3 linked regions of the Arabidopsis thaliana genome follow. The protein of the gene in region 3 purifies or fractionates together with the protein of the main gene of each other region. This does not show direct contact. Each region holds a gene or a part of one and is shown on either strand. Other genes may lie near its edges.

Region 1 (7,082 bases), on a different chromosome or scaffold from region 3:
AATCAAGTAAATCAATTCGCTTTAATATGAGATTCGATAGTTTATGCAGAGATTATATCCAAATCACACATCAAAACCATAAGATAAGAAAAACAGAACGCAAAATCATACCAATCCGATTCGAAAACGAAACAACGAACAAAGAGAAAGCTTCAAAACCCTAAATCGAATTAAAACTAGAGAGCAATCAATCAAACAGAGAACAACAAACAACGAAACGATCAAATCTACAAAAGAAAGAACAAATCGTACCTGAAGGTTTTGTTCGATGGAGTCTTTGGAGTTTTTGTTAATTCAATTGATGAAGAAGAAAGCTTAAGGAAGGTTTTGTATTTATAGACCTTTTTTTTTTACCATAGATCTTCTTTTTATGGCGGCTAAATCTTAGCCGTAGATCTATTATTTTCTAGACACGTGGATGGATAAGTTCGAATTAGTGACCAAGTGGGGAAGGTTTCACGTTTAGAATAACTGGTGTGAGACGCAGAGAATAATTATCTATTTTCTTTGCGTATAATGGACGCGCAACTCTCATATCCGTGTAGGCCCATTAAGAGCATTTATTAAAAGAAAGATAATAAGAGCCACAAGTGGGTCCAATAACAACACTTGCGAGAAGAATCTCGAAGTCAATATGATTTCGTATTTTATTCGATATCTGTGGTTGTCTGACAAAAGAAGAGACGTCTTATTGCAGATTGTTCTGATACATTATGTTGAAAACGTTTTACACATTGTCACTCACCGAATTTACTTGCTTTTTGATGAAGCAAAGAACCCAAATCTAGATCAAGCGAGGAGATGTTTTTAAATCAAAATCACTCACTCGTTGCTCAAACTTCGAATGATATACGAAAGCATACCGCCATGATTATAGTATGTTAGTTCCACTTGATCAATTCCAATCAACCAAGTCAGACCATTAAATATATGGTGACAATCAAATCTAAACAAAAGCTTTTGTGATTACCTCTGTGTCTAACCGCAAAGTGCAGACAAAAGATTTAGCAGTGTCAGTAGTCACAGTTATGTCCTGGCCTGGTTTTATCTCATTGATATTACTAGGAAGGTGGATTGTGTAGAGTTCATGGCCAGTTAGTCCAAGGGTTTCTGCATCTTCACCGGACTTGAAGGCCATTAACCCCAATTCCTGTCGAATTCAAGCTGCATCACAAATTTGGACAGGTTTCTCTATGCAGAAATTTAGGGGAGTTACTATGGAATAAGCTATTTAATCCTACTTAAGTCATAAATTATGGCCAACAGCGAAAGATTCGTCACATTACAACAGCATAGCGATGAAGTCGTTTTGTAAACCAGTGGATCACTCCCAAGACGCCTCACTGCATTCCTCATAGAAACAAGATCAAATTTAGCCATGAACCAAAAAAACAGAAAGCAAGAAAAGGTAAAACAAAAGTTAGTATAAATTGGGAAAAGAAAGGACTCTACCAACTGCCTTTAAAGTAATCATTTGGCATCTTGGGATGGGATCTCAACTTTCTTAAGTCAATCAACATACCAATCCAAGACACAAAGACTATAGCTCTGATAAATCTGCGTAAAACTGAGGACGAAAGATGAAGCAGAGGAAACAAGTTCTTATTTAGGCACTCAAACAGTTTATATCCTCAAGGGGACACACATTTTTTTCCCATCCAGATGGGTGTAAAAGGATCCACACTACTTTACATAGAACGGTGAAGACACTACCAAATCTGAAATATATATAAGTTGAGTGCATTTATATACTCTACTGCGGATTTGGGGGACGACTATTAGCAGCAGAGACTCTAGAGCCCCACTCCAAAAGTTCCTTGCTTGTATCGTCTTTGTGCACTATCACTTCAATGAAACAAAAGCTCTCTTTTTCCTCATTGGTTGCCGTGTTGATTGCTTTCACTAACTCCTCCTCGCATCTCACCTTGGCAGTCCAGCATTTTCCTTCTCCATTGTGTATGGCCTCAACAAAAGCTGTGTAGTTCCAGTTCTTTATGACATTGTAAGGACCATCGTGAATTTCCACCTCAATGGTGTAGCCTCCGTTGTTGATGAGGAAGATTATGGTCTTTTGCCCACACCGTATCATCGTAGATACATCCTGTGCGGTTACCTGGAAACTACCATCTCCAATACAAGCAATGACACGCCTGTTTGGCATGGCTTGAGCATAGCCTAGAGTAGCACCCACTGACCAGCCAATTGATCCGTACTGCATTTGGAATTCGTAACCGCATCCTTCAGGGAGCTTCAGCTTCTGACAGTTGAACCAGGAATCTCCTGTCTCAGCAAGCACAGCAGACTCAGAAGAGAGCATATTCTGAATGTGTTGGAACAGTACATTAACCCTCAAAGACTCATTCGGGTTATCTCTCAAAGGCTTTCCTTCTGGGACATAGATCCTGTGATAATTCTCATAAGAAGTGTTGTTGTGCTTAATTCGTTTAGCCAACTCGCTTAGAAAATCCTTCATAAGAACACATCCAAACGCAGGTCCGTTACCGATAGTAACCCGATCAGGCTGAACGATGATTGCCTTCTCCTTCTTGAGAAGCAGAGAATACCCAACAGAACTGTAATCGTTGAAAATCGGACCTGCAAACAGATAAGCATCCGCAGATTCAACGATTTCAGCACAAAAAGCTGTACTCACAGCTCCCCAATACGTCCCTATAAAATGCTTGTGATGCTCAGGTACTTGTCCTTTAGCAGAAGGCATCACAGCAAGACCATAGCCAGAAGCATCAGCAAGCTCAACAAAAGCATCCGCGGCTTTCGCAACCCGCATTTTCGGCCCACCAACAAGAACTGGCTTCACAGCTTTGTTCAAGAACTCAGCAGCTGCCTCCACCGCCGCATCTAAACCAATCTGATTGCTAACCTTCATCGGAAGCATGAACGGAACAGGATGACGACTAAACGTCGGAAGAGGAATCGCCGGTAAATTACAGCTGATACTGATATAAACAGGTTTGCTTTCTTTCAAAGCAGTTGAAATCGCAGTATCGATAAGTTCATGAGCCTCTTCTAAGTTATTAATCACAGCTTGAAAACAAGTAACAGCTTGAAAACACCTAAGCTCTTGAGTGAAATCAGGTAAACCAATTGTATGATGAAGAATCCTATTGGTACCGTAATCGTTGGAGTTTGGACCACCGACGATGCAAATCAGAGGCAGATTCTCACTGTAAGCACCGGCGATCGCATTCAGAACACTCAATCCACCGACGGTGAACGTAACGACGCACGCACCAACACCGCGAGATCTAGCGTAACCGTCAGCAGCGTATCCGGCGTTAAGCTCGTTGCAGCAACCGATCAGCTTGAGGTTTGGTTCGGCGATTAGGTGATCGAGAAGCGTCAGGTTGAAATCACCAGGAACGGAGAAGACATCGGTGACGCCGATTTCGACTAACCGTCTTGCTAGGTAACGGCCAAGAGTCGCGTCGCAGGGGCTGACGGTGGTGGAGTGAAGTGGACTTGTGTTTTGAACGGTGGAGACTCCGCCGTTTGGAGGACCGCCGATATCGTGGTTGGTCGGGTTACACGCGTCGATAGATCCGATCTTAGTGTCCATAGTGGTAACGTTCGTTTCAGAATTTTCGAACAATAGAGCTATGAGAAAATTGGAGAGAGCTCGAGGTAAAAGTACAGTTTGAAATATGAGATTAGTGGAAGATACTTAATTATAGACGTAAAACAACGGTGGCTAAAGTAATCAAACGGTGGTATGAAATAGGCGGCTAATAAGATATTTTTAGCCGCAGATATTTATGTGTCTCTGAGATTGACACGTGTCCTTATATAGTTGGATATTGGAGAACAAGTTAGAAAGTTCACGTTGAGAATAGTTGTGAGTCCGCAGAGAATAATTGCTCTCATGCGCAGCCCACAAGGGCATCATAGGACCCGATTGGATATAGGATCCGACCCGGTTCGTGTCAATACCACGTGACTCAAAAAGAAACTCCCGCTCTTGGCGACTTTTCGAAACCCTAAAGAGACTCGTATTTCCCCCCTAACGCCGATTTTCCCGCCGCTCTCACTCAATTACAAAAATCCGTAGATCCCCAATCTCCAATCACATATCTCCCACAATCTCTTTCTCGCTCTCTCGATCATCAGATTCTTCAATCTCTTTCACCAAGCTTAACCAAATCGTTACCATGAAGGATATCTCTAAATCTCCGGCGAGAAGAAGCGACGGATTCCACCGCTACTTAAAACCAGGAGCGCTTGCTCAGATCCGAAACTCGAGAATCAACGCTAGATCTACTACATCTCTCGTATCTCGCTCCTCCCTCTCGCAGCTAGTAGATCCGATTTCACCATCTGAGAACTCGGTTGATGAAGCAGCAGCGGCTTCGCGGAATCTGACGATAGATCAGGTACCACATCTTCTAAGAAAGATCTATGGTCCTTACAGTTATCAGAGGAAGAAATTAGCCGCTGCTAGATCTGTCTCGTCGATGATGATGATGAATATCAATCCTCCTATAAACTCAGTTCTTGTTGAACCCAGTAGTGATGTTATTGCTCATTGAGTTAAACTAGTTTCTACCAAATCTGTAATCTGATGATACAATTCGGGTAAAATGTTTAATACTATCATAAGACTCACTATATGAATCATTAAATTATCAATAAATTGTGTGTTTTCAATTGATGAGTTTATCTTTGTTAATTTAATGTTTGTGTTGATTTGATATCTTACGATTTGGATTTGACTATAGATTCCTTCACTACATATTAATGAACACTTACATGAGTATCATTTTGGGATTCTTAATGATGTATATGTAACTCTTAAGTGTTGTAACTGTTTTGAAAGATTAGCCAAACACTTAAAGATTCGAAGAGTAATGATATAAGACTACATATATTTTTCTCAAATTTGTTATCATCTTGTTAGATTGTAATTGACATAGGCTATGTTACCTCAGTCAATTCTCTGCTTTGCTTAATCTAAACATCTCAAATCTATAGGTTTTGATTATCTCTCTGTTTGTTGTGATGGGTAAAAATGTTTGCCTTCTGCTATTATCAGACGCTATTGTCTCAGACCAAATGGTTACCTATGTTTGTCGATGGGTGTTAACAGATTTCATTTGCTTGGTGGTATTACCGCATATGGAACATTGGTCTTGGTTTATTTAGTCTCATCATTCGATGTTAATAAGTTTTATCTATATGCTTTCTTTCATTTGTTCTAATGGGTAATGATGGTTATCTATATGTTGCCTTTAGCAAACGTCGCTGCCCATATGGTTGAACTTGAATCCTGATCCAACTGAACCTCTTTACCCTCTGATTATGCAATCGGTTATTAATTGATGTTGATATCCCCAAGTACATATGTATGTTATATGTAAGAGACCATTCATAACTTTCACTTTCTACCCTTCAAAGTTTTATTTAACTCTCTTCATTGTCAAATCCTTCATCTTTACTACTTTTTCAATATCTCCCCATTATGTATAAATTTAATGCATCAAGTACTACAACTATTCCACATGTGCATTGATAAATCAACCTCAAAATAGAGGTAAAAGAGAGAGAGAACCACTTTTTTGAAAGGAGTGGAATTGTTCTCGTATCACGAGATTACATAAACGTGAGTCGTCCAAACTACTAGATTCGAATAAACCAACCAAATCACAAATTGTTTCTTTTAAAATAATGAAACATGATGTGAAAACACAACTCGTAGCCTATTTGATATTGTTTTCGTTCATGTTTTGTCGACGTAGACCCATATATCTTAGTAGGTTTTGAAATAAACCAAACTGAGCCCCAACTAAAGCTACTAAACCACGGTCGATAGAACCAAACCGACGTAAATTCAAAGCTATAAACTCAAACCGAATTATAAAATATGAAGTTATGTTTGATTTTGATATTTTTCTCACTGAATCAAACCTAAACTTAAACCAAAATGGCGAAATCTGAAAACCCAATGTAAATGCAGACTCCCTATGGTCGATTAATTTTGTTGTTGCAGAATTCTTTAGAAGTATGATGTGACATCACCTTGACTAATGCTAATGTCATCACTTAATGTAAAGAACGTACTAATATTTAGCAACGATTTTAAAAATAATAAGCATCTCAATACTTAAGATTATCTCAAGTAAAACTAATAATCCAAAGCCATGATGATTCATATGAAGCCCACTGCCCACCAAGGCAAGCCAAATGTCGATCTCTCTCGCTACCAGCAACCACCGCACTTGCCTCGTCCATGTCACTTCCACAACCATAAATTTTTTTGGTGCCACTCGAAATAAAATAAAAATATAAAATTTATCAAAATCATTAACGATTTAAAGCAAAATTCTAACTTTAATAAGATAAAGCTACAATCCGGAGATGGTGAAAAAACTTTAATCCATATTCACATTGTAAGTTTTTCTATGGAAAATCACTTCTTCTTTTTTTCCACGCGGTTTCAAAGGTTAATCATAAAAAGAGTAGAAGTTAAAGGAACTTTTTTGTATCTATTATAGTTTGTTTTTATATGTATTGTGACCACAAACACATATATCTACATATTTATTTTATATATAAAGAGATAGATAATCTAACTGAGAAATCCACTTGAAGCTATTCAACAATTTTTATAGCTTTCTTCCTCTCCAAAACCACACCAAAAAAAAAAAAAAAAAATTTGATTTTCAGATCCAATCAACCAGAGATGAGAGATAACAACAATAACAACACAAGAGAAGAAGAGAGAAGCAGTTCTTCAAAGCAGCAACAACCACAAGCTCCTATGTCTTTGAAGATCATAGATTCATGTCTCAGACTAAGTGTGGTTCCTCTCAGTGTTGCAACCATCTGGTTAACTGTCACTAACCACGAATCCAACCCGGACTACGGCAATTTAGAGTACAACTCCATCATGGGTCTCAAGTAAACATATACTCTTTACTTTCTTTCAACTTTTTAGTAAGTATTTTATAATTATTAATTAATTAGTTATAATTTGTAGGTATATGGTTGGTGTGAGTGCCATATCTGCTATTTATGCTCTGCTCTCTACTGTTTCTTCATGGGTCACATGTTTAGTCTCCAAAGCTTGG
Region 2 (7,454 bases), on a different chromosome or scaffold from region 3:
ACAAACGTTGATTCGATGAGTCTGTTTAGAGTAATGATTACCTAGGAGTTAGGTCAAAAGGGACAGGATCACGAGCAAACGTAGGATGAGGAGTTGCAGCTAAGTTGCAACTGATGCTAATGTACACAGGCTTGCTCTCTTTCAAAGCTGTTGCTATCGCCTTGTCGATCTGTTCATGAGCATCCTCCAAATTGTTCACCACAGCCTGAAAACAAACACATAGTTAAAATCTAAGCAAAGGAGATATATATGTGATGATCAAGACTAGTTGATATTGAAATGTGTTAATACCTGGTAGCAAGTAACAGTTTGGAAACACCTAAGCTCTTGGCTAAAGTCAGGTAAACCGATGGTGTGATGAAGAATCCGGTTAGTGCCAAAATCGTTGGAGTTAGGACCTCCAACGATACATATAACTGGTAGGTTCTCACTGTACGCACCAGCGATAGCGTTCAAAACGCTGAGTCCACCAACGGTGAAAGTCACGACGCAAGCACCGACTCCACGAGATCGAGCGTATCCATCGGCGGCGTAACCGGCGTTAAGCTCGTTACAGCATCCGATGTTGTTGAGCTCTGGCTCGGCGATGAGGTGGTCGAGAAGAGTTAGGTTGAAATCACCGGGAACAGAGAAAACATCGGTGACTCCGGCTTGGACAAGACGGCGGGATAAGTGACGTCCTAGAGTCGATTCGGAGGTTGTGGTGATGGGAGCGGAGTCTTGGATTGTTGCGACGGCGTTGCTTGGTGGACTTCCGATGTCACCAGTTGTTGGCTTACACGTGTCGATGGCTCCAATTTTGGTGTCCATTGGAAAGCTTATTATGAAGAAAATGAAACCTTTTAGTATTTATTTTAGTGGTGATGATGAGTAATAAATTGGAATTATTAGATGGGTTATATAGTTGTACATGTTGATTAGTGCAAATTACATTCGGTTTCTGACTTCCTTGTGCCAAAAGCATAAAGATTTACTGAAATATTTTTGCAATTTTCTTGCTGTCATCTTACATTTAGTTACTTTTTTACAGATAGAAATTTACTTATATAAATTGATACTTATATACACGAAACACGGACGTTTTATTTTGCACTAAAAAATTTATAATTTTTTGTGATACGAAAAGACATTTTACGTTAGAAGATGATGAAAATAAATTTATTTTCAAACTATATTAGAGTATAACATGGATTTTTTATTTTATTTTTGTTATTAACTATATATGTATCTTTGAACTTGTTTGCCAAGATGAACCATTAATGCAGCATTAAGTCTCTGATTTTCGTCTTAACTATGATATAACTTACATTAAGTAGCTGCCAAAGAAACGAAAAAGAACCTAAAGAAATACTAGATTCGTATTGTTCAAGAATTTTATTACCTTATATTGAGAAGTTAGTATAATTATTGGAACTCAATAATTTACATGCACGTAAAGGCATTAATAAGATTAGAATATTCCATCCTGATTCCATCAACAATTTTCATTTCACGTTTAAGAAAAAGCAGAAATATTGAAGTTTATAATGAAAACTTTGTCAACAAGGGGTTCCCTAATATGAAGGATATTAAAAGCAAAATCAATTAAAACCAGCGGTCAAAAAATCGAAACCAGTACTTAATTAGACATAAGAGAAAGAACAAAAGTAGCGATGTGATTAGATTGCCAATAAACGATAGATGCTTGAGCGACACTCAAGATTCGTTTCTTTTCTCTTGCTTCTACTGAGGATTGGGAGGACGACCATTAGCAGCTGAGACGCGAGAGCCCCACTCAAGCAACTCTTTGCTCGTATCATCCTTGTGAACAATCACTTCAATGAAACAAAGACTATCTTTCTTCTCCAATGTCGCCGTGTTAATCGCTTCCACTAACTCCTCCTCGTATCTCACCTACCAAAAACACAACATTCATAATGTTACTCTTCAACCCTGGACTCATATGTTTAATTTCCAACTGTAAACATCAATTACCTTTGTGGTCCAGCATTTGCCTTCACCATTATGAATAGCATCGACAAGACCAGTGTAGTTCCAATTCTTGATCACATTGTAAGGACCATCATGAATCTCAACTTCAATGGTGTAGCCACCGTTGTTGATCAGGAAGATGATGGTCTTCTGTCCGTTACGAATCATTGTGGAAACGTCCTGAGCCGTCACTTGGAAACTTCCGTCTCCAATGAAAGACAACACTCTCTTCTCCGGTGTTGCTTGAGCGTATCCTAGAGTCGCACCAACAGACCAACCAATTGATCCATACTGCATTTGAAACTCGTACCTACAATATAGAGAACAACGACTTTTTAAAACTCTTGTGTGTTTTTTCTTTTCCAGAGAATTACTAAAAAGTTCTGGGGATATCTATATAGGCCCATAAATCATCTCAGGCTAAATACCAAGGCATTTTATATCGTTTCCAACCAAGTACATATATACCACCACTCTTTAACCAGCAATTTCTAGATGTTGACTTTACTAGATGAGCTTATATTGACTGCTTCAACAATGTTAAAAGGTAAAAGATTTAGTTTCCTTTTTCTAGATACGTACCCACATCCTTTAGGCAGCTTAAGTTTCTGACAATTGAACCAAGAATCACCAGTTTCAGCAATCACAGCGGTTTCATTAGAGAGCATCTTCTGAATGTGTTGGAACATTGCGTTGATTCTCAAAGGCTCTCTTGGTTTGCATTTCAAAGGCTTACCTTCAGGGACAAAGATTCTATGGTAGTTCTCATAAGCCGTCTTGTTAGGTTTCACCCTCTTAGCCAACTCCCTGAAGAATTCGCTCATCCGAACGCAACCAAAGGTAGGACCATTAGCCACAACGACACTATCAGGATGCACAATGATGGCTTTTTCTTTCTTGAGGAGAAGTGAGTAACCAACGGAGCTGTAGTCGTTGAAGATTGGACCTGCGAAGATGTAAGCATCCGCGGACTCGACAATCTCAGAGCAGAAAAGAGTGCTCACTGCTCCCCAGTAAGTGCCAATGAAATGAGGATGGTTCTCTGGGACAAAGCCTTTGGCAGATGGCATCACTGCCACGGGGTAGCCTGAAGCATCAGCTAGCTCCACAAAGGCATCCCTAGCTTTAGCCACACGCAACTTGGGACCACCGACCATAACGGGCTTCACGGCCTTGTTTAGAAACTCCAATGTTGCTTCCACGGCAGCTTCTAAACAATCCTTGTTGCTCAACCTAATTTAAGAAACAATCCACACATCTTTGAGCTTGATTCTTGAAGAGAACAGGATTGATCAGTTATATTTACCTTGGAGTTAGGTCAAAAGGGACAGGATAACTAGCAAATGTAGGATGAGGAATGGCAGCTAAGTTACAGCTGATGCTAATGTACACAGGCTTGCTCTCTCTCAGAGCTGTTGCTATCGCCTTGTCGATCTGTTCATGAGCATCCTCTAAATGGTTCACCACAGCCTGAAAACAAACACACTGTCAAAATCTAAGAATGTGATGATCAAGATTCGATAATGTGGTTATACCTGATAGCAAGTAACAGTTTGGAAACACCTAAGCTCTTGGCTAAAATCAGGTAAACCAATGGTGTGATGAAGAATCCGGTTAGTGCCAAAATCGTTGGAGTTAGGACCTCCAACGATACATATAACTGGTAGGTTCTCACTGTACGCACCAGCGATAGCGTTCAAAACGCTGAGTCCACCAACGGTGAAAGTCACGACGCAAGCACCGACTCCACGAGATCGAGCGTATCCATCGGCGGCGTAACCGGCGTTTAGCTCGTTACAGCACCCGATGTTGTTGAGCTCCGGGTTGGCGATGAGCTGGTCAAGCAGAGATAGGTTGAAATCACCGGGAACAGTGAAAATGTCGGTGACTCCGGCTTGGACAAGACGGCGGGATAAGTGACGTCCAAGAGTCGCTGCAGAGGAGCCGAGTATGGTTGCGGCGGTGGGAGCGGAGTCTTGGATTGTTGCGACGCCGTTGCTTGGTAGACTTCGGACGTCCATTGGAAAATGAGCTTAATAATTAGGATATGATGATGAAGCTCTCTTTGTTTTTCTTGTGAGCAGTATAATGCTGTTGGATTATATAGTTGTTTGTGCGTTGTAGTAGATTCAAAACACTACCAGTTTATTTCGTAATAAAATTGTTTAGTAATTATATAGTTTTTTATACGAATAATGCATACGATTATATTATAAAATGTTCAATTAGACATACAGAATTAATCATCTGATTTTCCTCTCTGGACTTACATTTAATTCAACGTGCAAAGAAACGAAAATAATATATTTTAATTGTTTATAAAGATATACTGATCAGTTGTATTATTGTTCAAGACGACTTGTATTAACTTGAAATAAATTATTAGAATTCAATAATTTACATGTGATGCGCGCAAGGGTAGAGTTACATCGTGATCCCATACCATAATACTTCACATGTGTATGTGGCCATATTTAACAACATTGCGAGTCTTTTTGTTCCTTGCTTCTTATATAGTTAAACGATTCATACTAATTCTGTTACTTGGGATTTGGGAACAAATTGTTCTTGTTCTCATAAATTACACTCTTATCTATGTTAGTAAACTTACGACGCTCATTATAAAGTATCACATGAACAACAAAAAGTCTCCATGGTGATGGAACATTGCTATTTCATTAATATTTAAATGGATTATTAATGTGTTAACGTGGGAGCACATGTTAACGCGTGAGAACAAGTTGTTATGTTTTCATAACATTAAAACCAAAAAAAAGGGTTAATAACATGTTGTTAAACAACAATGTATATTTCAACGTGTAAATTTTTTTTTTGCCAGACATTCTAACGTGTTTAGTGATTACCTTGAAAACTATCTCTTCGAATCATTGTTAATATCTCAAACCAACAGAGTCGCCGGTAATATATTCCCAACATTCATTTTGAGTACATAAACAATGTGACCAACTTTTAGGCGATTAGGGTTTTTCCGTTTCTGCCGCCGCGTTGCTGGTCGCCGGCTTCTCGCCGGTTGAGATCTTGTCATGTCTAAGAAGAAAAAGAAGATCCCTCTCCTTCCTGTCAGTTCAAAGTTCGCTCGGGTTTTGGCTTGCGCTCAGTCCGGCTCTGTCCCCCTGTCGTCGTCTGCTCCTTCCGGATCTGCTTCGCCTCCTTCCTCTGGTCTTCCCTGCGCTGGCTCTTTGGCTCTGGTTCTCCCTGTTCCTCTGGTTTTCGACTTGGAAGAGAATTCCTTGTCTCCCGAGGTTATTTCGGAGACTGTTTCTCTCATCCCGAAGTCGTCTACTCTTACTCCTCTGGTAGCTATTGAAGCGAATGGGTCATCCATTCAGCCTCTGCCTACTGTAATTTCCTCCTCGGTTGGCTTGGGATCAGTGTCCGAGATCTCCTCCGCTGGTTCCCCCATTTTGACTCCTTCAGTTGGCTCAGCTCCTCTCTTAGCTCCGAGCTCAGGGCCTGTTGGCTCCTCAGATATGGTTGCTACCAAGTCTCTCTCTTTGGGATCTGCTATTCCTCAGTCTTCGACTCCTATTTCGGGCTCTTCCTCTCAGGCCCCCAGCTCCGATTCAAAAATTGATCTTCCTTGGGTAGCTAAGTTTAAGGCTTCACTGCATAACCTTAAGCAAATGAGTCAGCCAACTTACTTGGAAGATGGTACTCCGGTTGTGATCGCTCCTTCCTCGGTCTTGTTGAAGTCTGCTGCTTTGTGGAAGGGCCATGTCGTAGCTCAATTTCATGGCTCTTGTCCTCCTGCAACCCGGATCTTCTCTGATTTGAATCCAATTTGGGGAAATTACGGTGATATTACCGTTCGCATCGTCTCCGAGACTGTGGCTCTGATTTTTATTCCGGCTCTTAATACTCGCCAATGGGTGGTGGATGTGGGATTCTGGCAAGCTGGTAACTGTTCTTGTACAGTCTACCCTTGGTCTTCAGAAGGTCTCCTTAATATTGATGAGTTGAAGACTGCTCCAACCTGGGCTGTATTGAAGAATGTTCCTCCTCAGCTCTATTCGCTTGAAGGGATTAGTGTTATTGCTAGTGCCATAGGGGTTCCTCTTCACACAGAAAAATCAAGATTAGACCCCATCAATATAGGTTCAACTAAAGTTAAGGTGGTGATCAAGCTGGACTTGCCTCTTCCTTCTTCTGTTGTTGTAAAGGATGTTCAGGGTAATTCTGCTAGGGTTGATGTGGAGTATCCTCGACCTCCGCCGAAGTGTTTAAATTGTGGTAAATACGGACATTTATTGAGTCGTTGCCTCATCCCTCTTCAGAAAAAATTGCCATTTAAGAAGGACTCTCCTTCAGGAGCCAAAGAGGTGGCTCTTCCTCCAATATTCTTCCGGCAGCTGGAAGTAGTGACTCAGTTAGAGGTGTCGACCTTTCTCCTCCTATTGCAGCTGAGATACCTTTGTCGAAATCAAAAAGGAGGCGCTCTAGATCAAAAAAGCGATCCCTTAGCTCTCCTCCACGGATTACTGACCCTCTATTACCTTTCTCTCCCCAGTCTTCTCTTTCATCGCAGACTTTGGCTAGTAAAAGGTGGGTTGCAAAACCAGGAACGATCTCATCTGATCTCAAGGTTGGAGTAATTCAGGGTTCTGGTTCTATTCAACAAGCTGCTCAACCTAAGAGGTCTATGCGTGACTCCATCAAAGATCCAGATCCCAGTTTTCCCTTGCCTATGGGTTGGACAGTCATGTCTACTAAGGCTAAGAAGAAAGAACTCAAAAAGTGGCATAATCGTCTCCGTTCTTCTGAGGCAGGTTCTATTGATTTAGCTGCTAGTAAGGACCTTGAAGGTCCTTCTTCTCATTGAAAGCTGTGCTTTCACCTTCACCTTTTGTTGTGTATATGAAGGTCCTTCTTCTAATAATCTTCTTGTCGGATGTTTTTTGGAGACTCACGTGGCAGAGGAGAATGCAAACTCGGTTTTGGCCTCAACCCTTCCTGGTTGGAGGATGGATAGCAACTACTGTTGCTCTGATCTTGGGAGGATATGGATTGTTTGGGATCCTTCCATCTCAGTTTTGGTTTTTAAGAAAACAGATCAATTTATGTTATGCAGGATAAAGCTGCCCAATTTATCTCAATCCTTTGCGGTTGCTTTTGTGTATGGAAGGAATAATGATATTGAAAGGAGATCTCTTTGGGAGGATATTTCTGTTTTGTCTAGGTCCTCCCCTCTCTCTCATACCGCTTGGTTGCTGTTGGGGGACTTCAATCAGATAGCAGCTTCTTCTGAGCATTACTCTATCACACAGTCAGCCTTCAATATTCGTGGTATGGAAGATTTTCAGGGTTGTTTGAGGGACAATCAGCTCTCTGATCTGCCTACTAGGGGTGTGTTCTTCACTTGGTCAAATCATCAACAGGATAATCCGATCATAAGGAAGCTGGACAGGGCTTTGGCTAATGATGAGTGGTTTTCTTCCTTCCCTTCTGCATTAGCGGTTTTTGAT
Region 3 (9,497 bases):
GATTGATTATTGTTTTATTGTGATGTCATATTGGTAAAAGGAGTGAAGATGATGAATTCTTGCAGGTTTGAAAATGCAGTTGTAACTGCAGAGAAAGCTTCAAAGATTGATCCACAAAACAATGAAGTTGAAATTTTGTATAAAAATGTTAGATTAATAACTAGAGCGCGTGATCGTGGTAACGATCTTTATGAACTAGAAAGATACACTGAAGCAAGATCAGCTTATGCAGAAGGCCTTAAGTATGATCCATCCAATGCTACTCTGTTATGTTACAGAGCAGATTGTTTCTTTAAGGTTGGAATGTGGGAGAGCTCAATAGAAGATTGTAACCATGCATTGCTTATACTACCGAGTTACACAAAGCCTCGTCTTCAAAGAGCTGCTTTATATACCAAGGTAAAATATATATGGTATGATGACTTAGTTTTGCATTTCACTTGCGCTAAGTTTCTTTTTGATGAAACTGTAGTTGGAAAGATGGGCTGAAGCAGTGAGTGATTATGAGATCTTAAGAAAGGAACTGCCTTATGACAAGGAAATTGCTGAATCTTTATTTCATGCTCAAGTTGCATTAAAGAAATCTCGCGGCGAAGTAGTTCTAAACATGGAATTTGGAGGTGAAGTTGAGGAAATATCTAGTCTTGAAGAGTTAAAAGCTGCATTAACTCGTCCTGGTAAGTGATATCTTAATCTTCTATGCTCTTATAGTCAGTGAACTTTCATTATTAACTTGTTGTACATATACTTCATTGGCAGGAGTTTCAGTTGTACACTTTTTTAGAGCTTCTGATCCACAATGCAAGGAGATATCCACTTTCGTGGACGCACTATGTGTTCGTTACCCATCTTTGCATTTCCTCAAGGTGAAAAAACAAAAACTTTGAAACAACTGTTTATATGTAAACCAAAGAACAAGTAAACTTACTTGTGAAATTGTCTTTCAACAGGTGGAGATTGTAAAATGTCCAGAAGTGGGTAATGCAGAAAGAGTGAGAGTTGTGCCAACATTTAAGATATACAAACTTGGGATTCGGATGAAAGAGATTGTGTGTCCAAGCAAGGAAGCGCTGGAGAAAACAGTGAGGCACTATGGCCTTTAGCAAACTCAAAACACTTAATATTCACAAAAACAAAAAAAAGGGGAGAACTTGTCAGTAATCTGATTTGATTCATTTATTGCTCTGTTAGATTTAGAAATTGAAAGAGAGAGATTAGTAATGTGTAAATAGAGCAGATTTTGGCTACCTAGGTGGTGAAACCATATAAAATAAGCAGAGAGAAAACCATTCATTCATGTTGTCAAAACATTTTTCCATCAATAAAAAAAGTCTTTGTCTACGTATTCTTTGTCTCTTTGATTAACACTAGGGTGGAATTAAGTCTTAAGCAGTGTTACAGTGAGAACTGTACGCTATAATACATGCAGACCAAATGCGAGCCATGTGTCTTAAACAGCAAAACAAAAAATGGTGTCGTTTCCTCAAAGCACCTCCCTTCTTTAACGGCATAGTTCTATTAACATGTTTCAGGGACCACAGTCAGACTTTAGACGACGTGCAATTTAAACGTATTAACAAATGTAAACGATTCTGAGACAGAGACCAGAAAGAAAAAGACAAAGAAGATAACATTAAGATTCACTGTCTCTGTTCTTGTTTACACTTCCAGAAACAGAGTCAGTGACGTTTGATACAATGGAAGATTAAGATTTCAACGGTGGATACATAAAGTAAACTGTAATCCAACCGTAATTATTTTGGATTCTAGAAAAAAAGAGATTATTAAAAAGGGTAGATAAAAAAGAGAGATTCGAAGTTTTGTTTTCTTTCACTGACTCACTTAACCGGTGTTTTGCAATCCTGCAGCAATACCCTTCATGGTTAAGATAAGTGTGTCCTCAAGTCCAGGCGCGTATTCACTCGTGGGGTTAAGCTTGACGAGCTCTTGTGCTGATTTGCTTGATTGCATGATCTCTTTAGAAATGTGTGGTCGCAGAGTCACATTGTAGTTTGCATCACGGATCCTCTTCAATGTGTAGGCTTGGCAAACGTTGAGGGTCGTAATGTAAGAGTCACGTAGCCTTAGTCTCTGTTTCAAGTAAGGATCTCCTTCAAGAAGGTCTTTATGTCCAGCAGTCTGCAACAACGCAAGTTTAGTGTTATTGCAAGAACAAACCCAACAAATATGAAACAGAGGACCCTGTTTTTTGTTATGTTATACCTGGAGGACGAGGTTCTTGGTTTCATCAAAGTTGGCTCTGAGTTTCTCTCCAAAAGCCCATAAATCTTCTGAGACAAGAAGTTTGTCGTACAAAGCAGCGATCCCGGGGTCTCCCTTGGCGAACACCATTTCAATTAGATCGATGGTGACTCGGAAAAAGGGCCATTGTTTATACATATCTTGCAGCATGTGAAGGTTTCTCACATCCTTCTTGATCGCATACCTAAATGCTGCTCCGAAACCTAACCATACAGGAAGATGGAATCTTGTTTGCGTCCAAGCAAAGATCCATGGGATTGCACGGAGAGATTCGATCCCACCGCTTGGTTTTCGCTTTGAAGGTCTACTTCCAATATTCATACGTCCATACTCCAGCTCCGGAGTAGCCTGCAAACCAAACCAACGGTTTTAGGTACTTAAAACACACAAAAACTTTGGTGAAATTTGGATTGATATGAATGAATACTTACGAGGCGGAAATACTCGACGAATCGAGGTTCTTGGAAAACGACAGATCGGTATTCCTCAGTTGCAACAACCGCCATTTCATCAAGCAAAGCACGCCACTCGGGTTTTGGTGAAATCGGAGGGTTCATTCCGTGCTCTAGAGTAGCTGCTGTGAAACGTTGAAGTGTTCTAAAGCATAAGTGTGCCTCCCCAAATGATTGCTCAATGACTTCACCCTGAACCGTGACTCGAAGAGAGCCATTAACTGTATCTGGTGGCTGAGACAATATAGCAAGATGAGTAGGACCACCTCCTCTTCCGACTGTGCCACCACGGCCATGGAACATAGTTAGCTTCACTCCATATTTCTTAGCAACCTTCACAAGCTCTTCTTGAGCTTTGTATAGCTCCCAAGCAGCTGAGAGACGCCCTGCATCTTTCCCTGAATCTGAGTAACCAATCATAACCTCTTGTTTACCGTTAATACGGTTTTTGTACCAGTCTATAGAAAAGAGTCTTGCAACAGCGGCAGGAGCTGCTTCAAGATCAGCTAGCTTCTCAAAGAGTGGAACAACTCTAAGTGGATTTTTCACATGGCATTCGCGCTGTAAAAGCTCAACCGCAAGCACATCACTAGGTGAAGTTGCCATAGAGATAATATAAGCTCCAAAACAATCTGAAGGCAGCTCAGATATGACTTTGAATGTGTCCAGGACATCAGAAATTTCTTCGGTTTTGGGAAGATCAGGTCCGAAAAGTGGACGTTTGCCGCTTAGTTCAGCAAGAAGCCATTCCTGTCGGCCTTCTTCAGACCAGTCTCTATAGGAGGAACCGATGTCCAAGTGCTTGGTGATAGCATCCAAGACATCTGTGTGGCGTTCAGACTCTTGCCTGATGTCAAGTCTCACAAGGGAGAGTCCAAAGGTAGAGACTTGCCTCAAGAAATCAAGAAGGCTTCCATCAGCTATCGGGCTGTCACCACATGAACATAGTGATCGGTAACAGAGCTCAAGAGGCTCCAAGAACTGCATAAATAGAATAAAAGAACAGTAAACACAATTGAATTCCGTGAATATTATTGAGGGAAACAAGTGTAAGGCTGGATAATGATAGAAACTCTAATGGCAAGAACTAACAAGTTGTTAAAATCAGGAAACAATTTAGTAAGGAACAAATTCAGAGTATAGAGGTTGCTCACCTGTTCCACATTAGTGAAGGTAGCTTCTTCAGGAATATCCGAGATTCCATTACTCAGCAATTGGCGGGAACGCTCACGTGTGTGATACAGCTTATCCCTCACATCACCAAGAATCACACGGTATGGCTCAGTTGGAGGAATTGTCTTCCAGAATTCTGCATTGAGTTAAAGAAAAAAAATAAGTTAAGAATGCAAAACCAATACCATTGTATACTTGCAGTATGTGTTTCTTTTAAGAAGAAAATGTCCAAAGCTTCTAACCTATGTAATGTTTTGCAGCATCTTTCCTTGAGTTCCTGTGCAGTTCATCCGCCCGCACACGGAATTCATCAGTGCAACGCCACATAGATAACTGCCAAGAAGAACACGAATGAATCAAGAGAATCTTAAAGAATGAAAACCGGGAAATGAGTACAAGTAAAAAGAGATAAAAACCTCAAACATCAGATTCTCGATTTGGTTATAGTAGAGATTGGCAGCCATCATTCTAGCCAACAAGCACACATCTCTAGTGACCTCAGGTGTGACCCTCGGATTACCTGAAATTCAGATACGACGATTAGAGGGTGAACAAGAGAAAACAAGAGAGTGATTCGTTTGCCAGTAATCCAAAAAAACGCATGTACCATCACGATCACCGCCCATCCACGAAGAGAATTGAATCAATGGGGCATTGTAAGGAACACGTTCATCAATCCCAATGTTTTTCAGAGCTGTGTCCACACGGCGCAAGAACTTGGGGACACCTTTCCAGATTGTCTCGTGGAAATAACTCATTCCAGCTCTCATTTCATCTTGTGGGGTTGGAGGTGTTCTTCTAATCTCATCTGTTCGGAATGCAGCTTGAATCTAAACAAAAAAGGAGAGTTTCAAAGGCCAATCTATCTATTATCCGAGGATTATATCAAATCAACATGTTACAATCCAGTGAGGTTGAGTTCTTACCTCTCTTTGCAGAGACTCATCTAGCTCCTGCTTGTCATCAGGAGTAATGTCCTTTGCATAGAGTTGAGCAAGACAGTCCCTTATCCTGAGAAAACATTTAATGTCAGGTCAACACACAAGCAAACAGAGTTTTCTCACTCTCTCCAGAAAACAACTAAGTCAAAAACTAACCTCCCATGCTTCTGAAGCAATGATCTACGCACAGACTGAGTAGGATGAGCAGTCAAAACCAGATCCACAGTCTGATTCTTCAAGGCATCAAAGATCTCTTCAGGAGACTTACCAAGATCCGAAACGAGCCTCTTAAAAGTCTCTTCAATATCGGATTCAGTAGTTGCAGAACTCTCATCAACGAAATCACCTTTCTTCAGCTTCTTGATCCTGCGACGGTGAGCAATCTGCACCTCCTCAGCCAAATTGGCTAAGTTAAGCATGTGAGAGAAAGCCTTGGAGATAACAATTGAGTCACCAGGATCCAAACTCGTTAGGACACTCCCTAGCTCCTCAAGCTTGCTAGGCTCACGCTTCCCTTCATACTCAGCAGAAAGCTCGTATAACTCTTGAACCTGTGCACAAGATCATTTTATCAATACATAAATGAATCTAAACAAAAAAGTTCCATCCTTTATACATAACTAACACGTAGGTTAAATAATCGGGTAAACTTAAAATCACTAATCGAAACAAAAAGATGAGATTTTTAGGATCTCTAGCAAATGGGTATCGATTCAATCCAAAGAAGAAGGATGTGTACCGTTTCACGGAGATCCTCGCCGTGTAAATCCTGGAGAATGTCGAGAAAGCGATCAAGGAGAAGAGCATCGTACTCAACAAGCTTATCGTCTTCACTGACTTTAGCAGGAACGAGTTGCCGAAGCTGAGCATCAATAGATGCCATCTTCTCTATGTTCCGACCCGCCATTATCGCCGATCAATCAAATCTTCTTCGCCACCCTCTTACTTCTTCTGTAATCATCAGATCAAAAAGGAAATGAGTTTTTTTACACAAAAAGGGAAAAAGAAAAGCAAAATCTGTTGACAACTGAATCGCCGGAAAAACAGGGGATTTGGTAGACTGACCGAAAATCACGAAAAAACAAAACAAAACTCAAACTGAAAAAAAAAATGAATTGACAAACCTGAAAAGAAGAAATCTCTGCGGATTGTGGGAGAAGGAACCAAATTCGATGTTTAGGGAATAAGGGTTTAAGATGTGGAATCAGATTCAGAGATGGATGTGATTGAGGAAAGCAGAGTGAAGTATTTATAGACGAGGGAGTGTGTTGGCATGAGCGATGCGCGCTTTTTAAGTCAGATTTTTTTATTATTTCATATTTTTTCGTTAGAATTATTTATTTCTGAGTTGAAAATAAATATATATATACATATATATATGTTTTATTTTGTAAGTTATCTACATGAGGTAAGAAAAATAATTGTTGGTCAATTTTATTTTTTCAAGTAAGAAAATTAAATAATTAAACACTGTCAAGAGCAGAAGAATATTCTAAAAGAACGAATATTTTCATTAACTTCATTCCATTTCATTGGGTAAACTAAAATTTGTTACTTACTTTGTACTAATTTACAAAGTAACGAATATGAAATGATTAAAGATAGTACTTTAACTGAGTGTATTTGGGAACAAATTTGAGTTTTGGTGGTCAAAGATCTAATGATCCTGATTTCTTAATTATTACACAAAATTAAGGAATTACCTGATATGGTTTTTATATGAATCTTAACTTTAGAAAAAAAAATGACAGCAAGAAAATTACCTCATTAAGAAAAAAAAACAGGATCGTGTGAGCTCGTGCATGCATTTTGTCTATGCACGAAGATGCATAAATCTCTGACTCTAACTTTCACATATGATCAAGTTGACTTTCAAAAAGTTAAAAAAAAAAAAATCTGGATCCTTTATAAAGGTGATTTGCTAGATCTATAAAAATGATTTTCAGCATATGTTCTTCTATCTACTGCTACCCAATAGAGCATCTATATTATAATTTATGTTATCTCAACTCTAAGAGAATATGTTGAAGAACAAAATATTGTAATCAAGACTTAAGAATATGTACTCTCTTTTCTTTTTCCTTTGCTATAGGTTCAATCTTTTTTCCTCTTCCTTGCTTTTACAACAAGTTTTAAAGGGTATATGCACTAAATAGCCAAATTTTAGAAATTTCTCAACAAAAGTGATGTGGTGGCCAAGTAACATGTTATTTAGCTAATGACACTATTTGATAACATGTAACTTTTTGTTTTGTTATTTTACATTTATATAATTGAAATTTATATCAGTGATCTTCGTCAATGTGGCATACGAAATGAACAATGTATACATTAAGGTCTTTATTCTTACGACTATTTATGGAATATTCGAATCACTGAGTACGTCATTATAATATGAACTCAAGTCAACCAAGTTTGTGATCTCTTGTTAAAAAAAGAAGCAGAGTTTCTGATCTGTATCGCTTCGTGGGTTCTTGTCCGTCTGTTCGAATATTCGATTCAATCTTTTGATTCATTTTCTTCGCAGTATCACATTTTAAAAGTAATCTAATACGTTGCAAATTTAATTATAGGACTAAAAATGTCGTTTCAAAATATCGAAATATTAGATTTTGGCCTGTAAAGTGTTCTGGAATCACTAAACTCTATACGCTTATGAATTTAAAACTAGTATTCGAGAGACGGCTCTTGGGTAGACTGATTCGTTTAAACAGTTTTATCATTGACCCTTTTGTATTTCTTTATGGTTTTAACAAATCATGCCGTCTTCTTAATTTGAATTTTAGCAATAATGCTGAATTGATTATAGATCGCTTTATGAACCAAAGACATTAACAAGGTTCAATTATTGGATAATATATTGTGGATGATACCTACACTAATATAAACTTGTGCATCAGTGGTTAGGTGTGGGGTCAGTGTCGGTGATAATCCGGTTGACGTATTAGATGATAGTTAACATTATTTATCAGAAACATTCGGGGAGGGTGACGACAATAGTATATAGTGTTCAATTTATATTTCTCCGTTTTCATTCTTAATAAAATAAAGCTTACAAGTGGTGGGATGATTCATGAAAGCAAATACGATGAGGCAATGGTGTGACTATATTTTATAAGTTAAAATTTATATGTTGTGATTACATTTGACTTTTAAATCATATAAATTATCTTATCTATTTGTTTTTCCAATTTGCTCTTTTCTTCTTTAACCAAAAAACCAAAAAAAAAAAAAAAAAATTGCTCTTTTCTTTTCATTTGATTCTACTATAGGCCAATTAAAGTTGCTGGTTACCGCAATAACGCGGTACGTTTTTCCGTTTGTAGTTAATTCGGTTTATAATCCAGAAATCCGAACCGGAAAATTGAATTAAACCAAACAAGAGGGACTCCTAACAAGTCTGATTCAGGTTGAGATCAGAGACTTCTCTTTTGCGTTATCTTTTGCAGTCTATGATACAATATTACAATCTACCTGGTTTCACATCGAATGTTGAGATCACGAGAGAAGACACACCAGATACAGAGATCTAGAAAGAACCATATGAAAAAAGTGGGATAACAAACATAGCAAAGGTTTGAGATTAACCAGATAAATGAATGTTTGGTTAAACTTTAACCAGAGTCATATCTCCAAAAGAAGCAGCAACATTTGAAGCCTAGGAGCAACTCAATACATTGTTAAACGTTAAGCAGAGCTTGGTCCAGAAGATTGGAAATCCTCAAGCAAGCCAAACAAAAACTGGACAGCTTCGCATATATCTCATAGCAAGTTACCAACTCTAGCATCGATTAAGGGTCAGACATGGAACTTTTTCTCTCATTCCTGCACCAAGTTTAAGAGATTCAGACATATGTTCACAAAACTTAAACAGCAAATTCTTCGGCGTAGGCACTTGTCTAGTCACCATTTCTCAGACAACCAATTCAGGTTCAGCTTTTTCTGCAGGAACATGATTTTGGAAAAGTGTTTGGTAATCCAAGTTTCTAGCGGTTTCAAAGAAATGAGCCACGGCTTCCTCTGGTGTCCCTACCAAGACACCGTGTCCTAGATTGAGAATATGCCCTTTTGGTCCAGCACACTTCACAACTCTGACACAAAACATACATTTCTTTCAGTTTCTTAATTTGAATTATAAGCACTACTTTTTTATTCAGCTGAACAAAGTGACCTACCTTTCAATTTCTTCGGTCAAAGCAGGAAGCGGAGAGAATAGGTAAGCTGGATCAACATTTCCCTGCACACTTACCTCGCTTCCCAATCGCCTCCTTCCATCAGCCATATCTACAGTCCAGTCAAGTCCAATAACATCAGCTCCAGTTCCTTTCATTCGCTCAAGAAGGCCACCATTTCCATTGATGTAGAAAACTATCGGCGTATCTGGACATCTTTTCTTTACAGCATGTATGATCTGGCGAGCCCAAATGGCAGAAAAAAAAAACGTTAAAACGCGAAAAGAAAATGTTTCAACTTTCAAGTAATCAAGTTGAAAGCATTTAATTGTACCTCTTCAATGTATGGTTTGGACCAGCGCTCCCACATCTCCGGAGTCAGTTGGCCACCCCAGGAATCGAATATTTGTATGCAGTGAGCTCCGTGCTCAACTTGGTAAACCACATACTCGGTAATGGCCTTGGTTAAATGAGATAATAGAGCTCTCAATACATCT

Evidence for each region.
Region 1: the proteins of PPC3 (region 3) and PDC2 fractionate together in Arabidopsis thaliana (co-fractionation; one large-scale study listed by BioGRID). This does not show direct contact.
Region 2: the proteins of PPC3 (region 3) and PDC3 fractionate together in Arabidopsis thaliana (co-fractionation; one large-scale study listed by BioGRID). This does not show direct contact.

What each region holds. Positions count from the first base shown.
Region 1 is NC_003076.8:22,309,105-22,316,186, forward strand, and holds PDC2 (pyruvate decarboxylase-2), read right to left. Parts: upstream 3,729-7,082; 5' UTR 3,578-3,728; coding exon 1,754-3,577; 3' UTR 1,449-1,753; downstream 1-1,448. Other genes in the region: AT5G54950 (Aconitase family protein), read right to left, coding at 728-784, 971-1,138; AT5G54970 (uncharacterized protein), read left to right, coding at 4,167-4,544; AT5G54980 (Uncharacterized protein family (UPF0497)), read left to right, coding at 6,695-6,912, 6,992-7,082.
Region 2 is NC_003076.8:130,816-138,269, forward strand, and holds PDC3 (pyruvate decarboxylase-3), read right to left. Parts: upstream 4,106-7,454; 5' UTR 3,993-4,105; coding exon 3,507-3,992; intron 3,442-3,506; coding exon 3,278-3,441; intron 3,205-3,277; coding exon 2,554-3,204; intron 2,282-2,553; coding exon 1,975-2,281; intron 1,894-1,974; coding exon 1,723-1,893; 3' UTR 1,449-1,722; downstream 1-1,448. Other genes in the region: AT5G01320 (Thiamine pyrophosphate dependent pyruvate decarboxylase family protein), read right to left, coding at 42-205, 292-810.
Region 3 is NC_003074.8:5,021,822-5,031,318, reverse strand, and holds PPC3 (phosphoenolpyruvate carboxylase 3), read right to left. Parts: upstream 6,136-9,497; 5' UTR 5,953-6,135; intron 5,937-5,952; exon of another isoform or gene 5,780-5,936; 5' UTR 5,736-5,779; coding exon 5,568-5,735; intron 5,380-5,567; coding exon 4,985-5,379; intron 4,899-4,984; coding exon 4,814-4,898; intron 4,718-4,813; coding exon 4,495-4,717; intron 4,408-4,494; coding exon 4,304-4,407; intron 4,221-4,303; coding exon 4,130-4,220; intron 4,024-4,129; coding exon 3,869-4,023; intron 3,696-3,868; coding exon 2,694-3,695; intron 2,611-2,693; coding exon 2,224-2,610; intron 2,140-2,223; coding exon 1,843-2,139; 3' UTR 1,433-1,842; downstream 1-1,432. Other genes in the region: TTL2 (tetratricopetide-repeat thioredoxin-like 2), read left to right, coding at 66-399, 473-677, 760-866, 951-1,103; HEME1 (Uroporphyrinogen decarboxylase), read right to left, coding at 8,742-8,919, 9,004-9,239, 9,335-9,497. UniProt on the Arabidopsis thaliana protein: Through the carboxylation of phosphoenolpyruvate (PEP) it forms oxaloacetate, a four-carbon dicarboxylic acid source for the tricarboxylic acid cycle.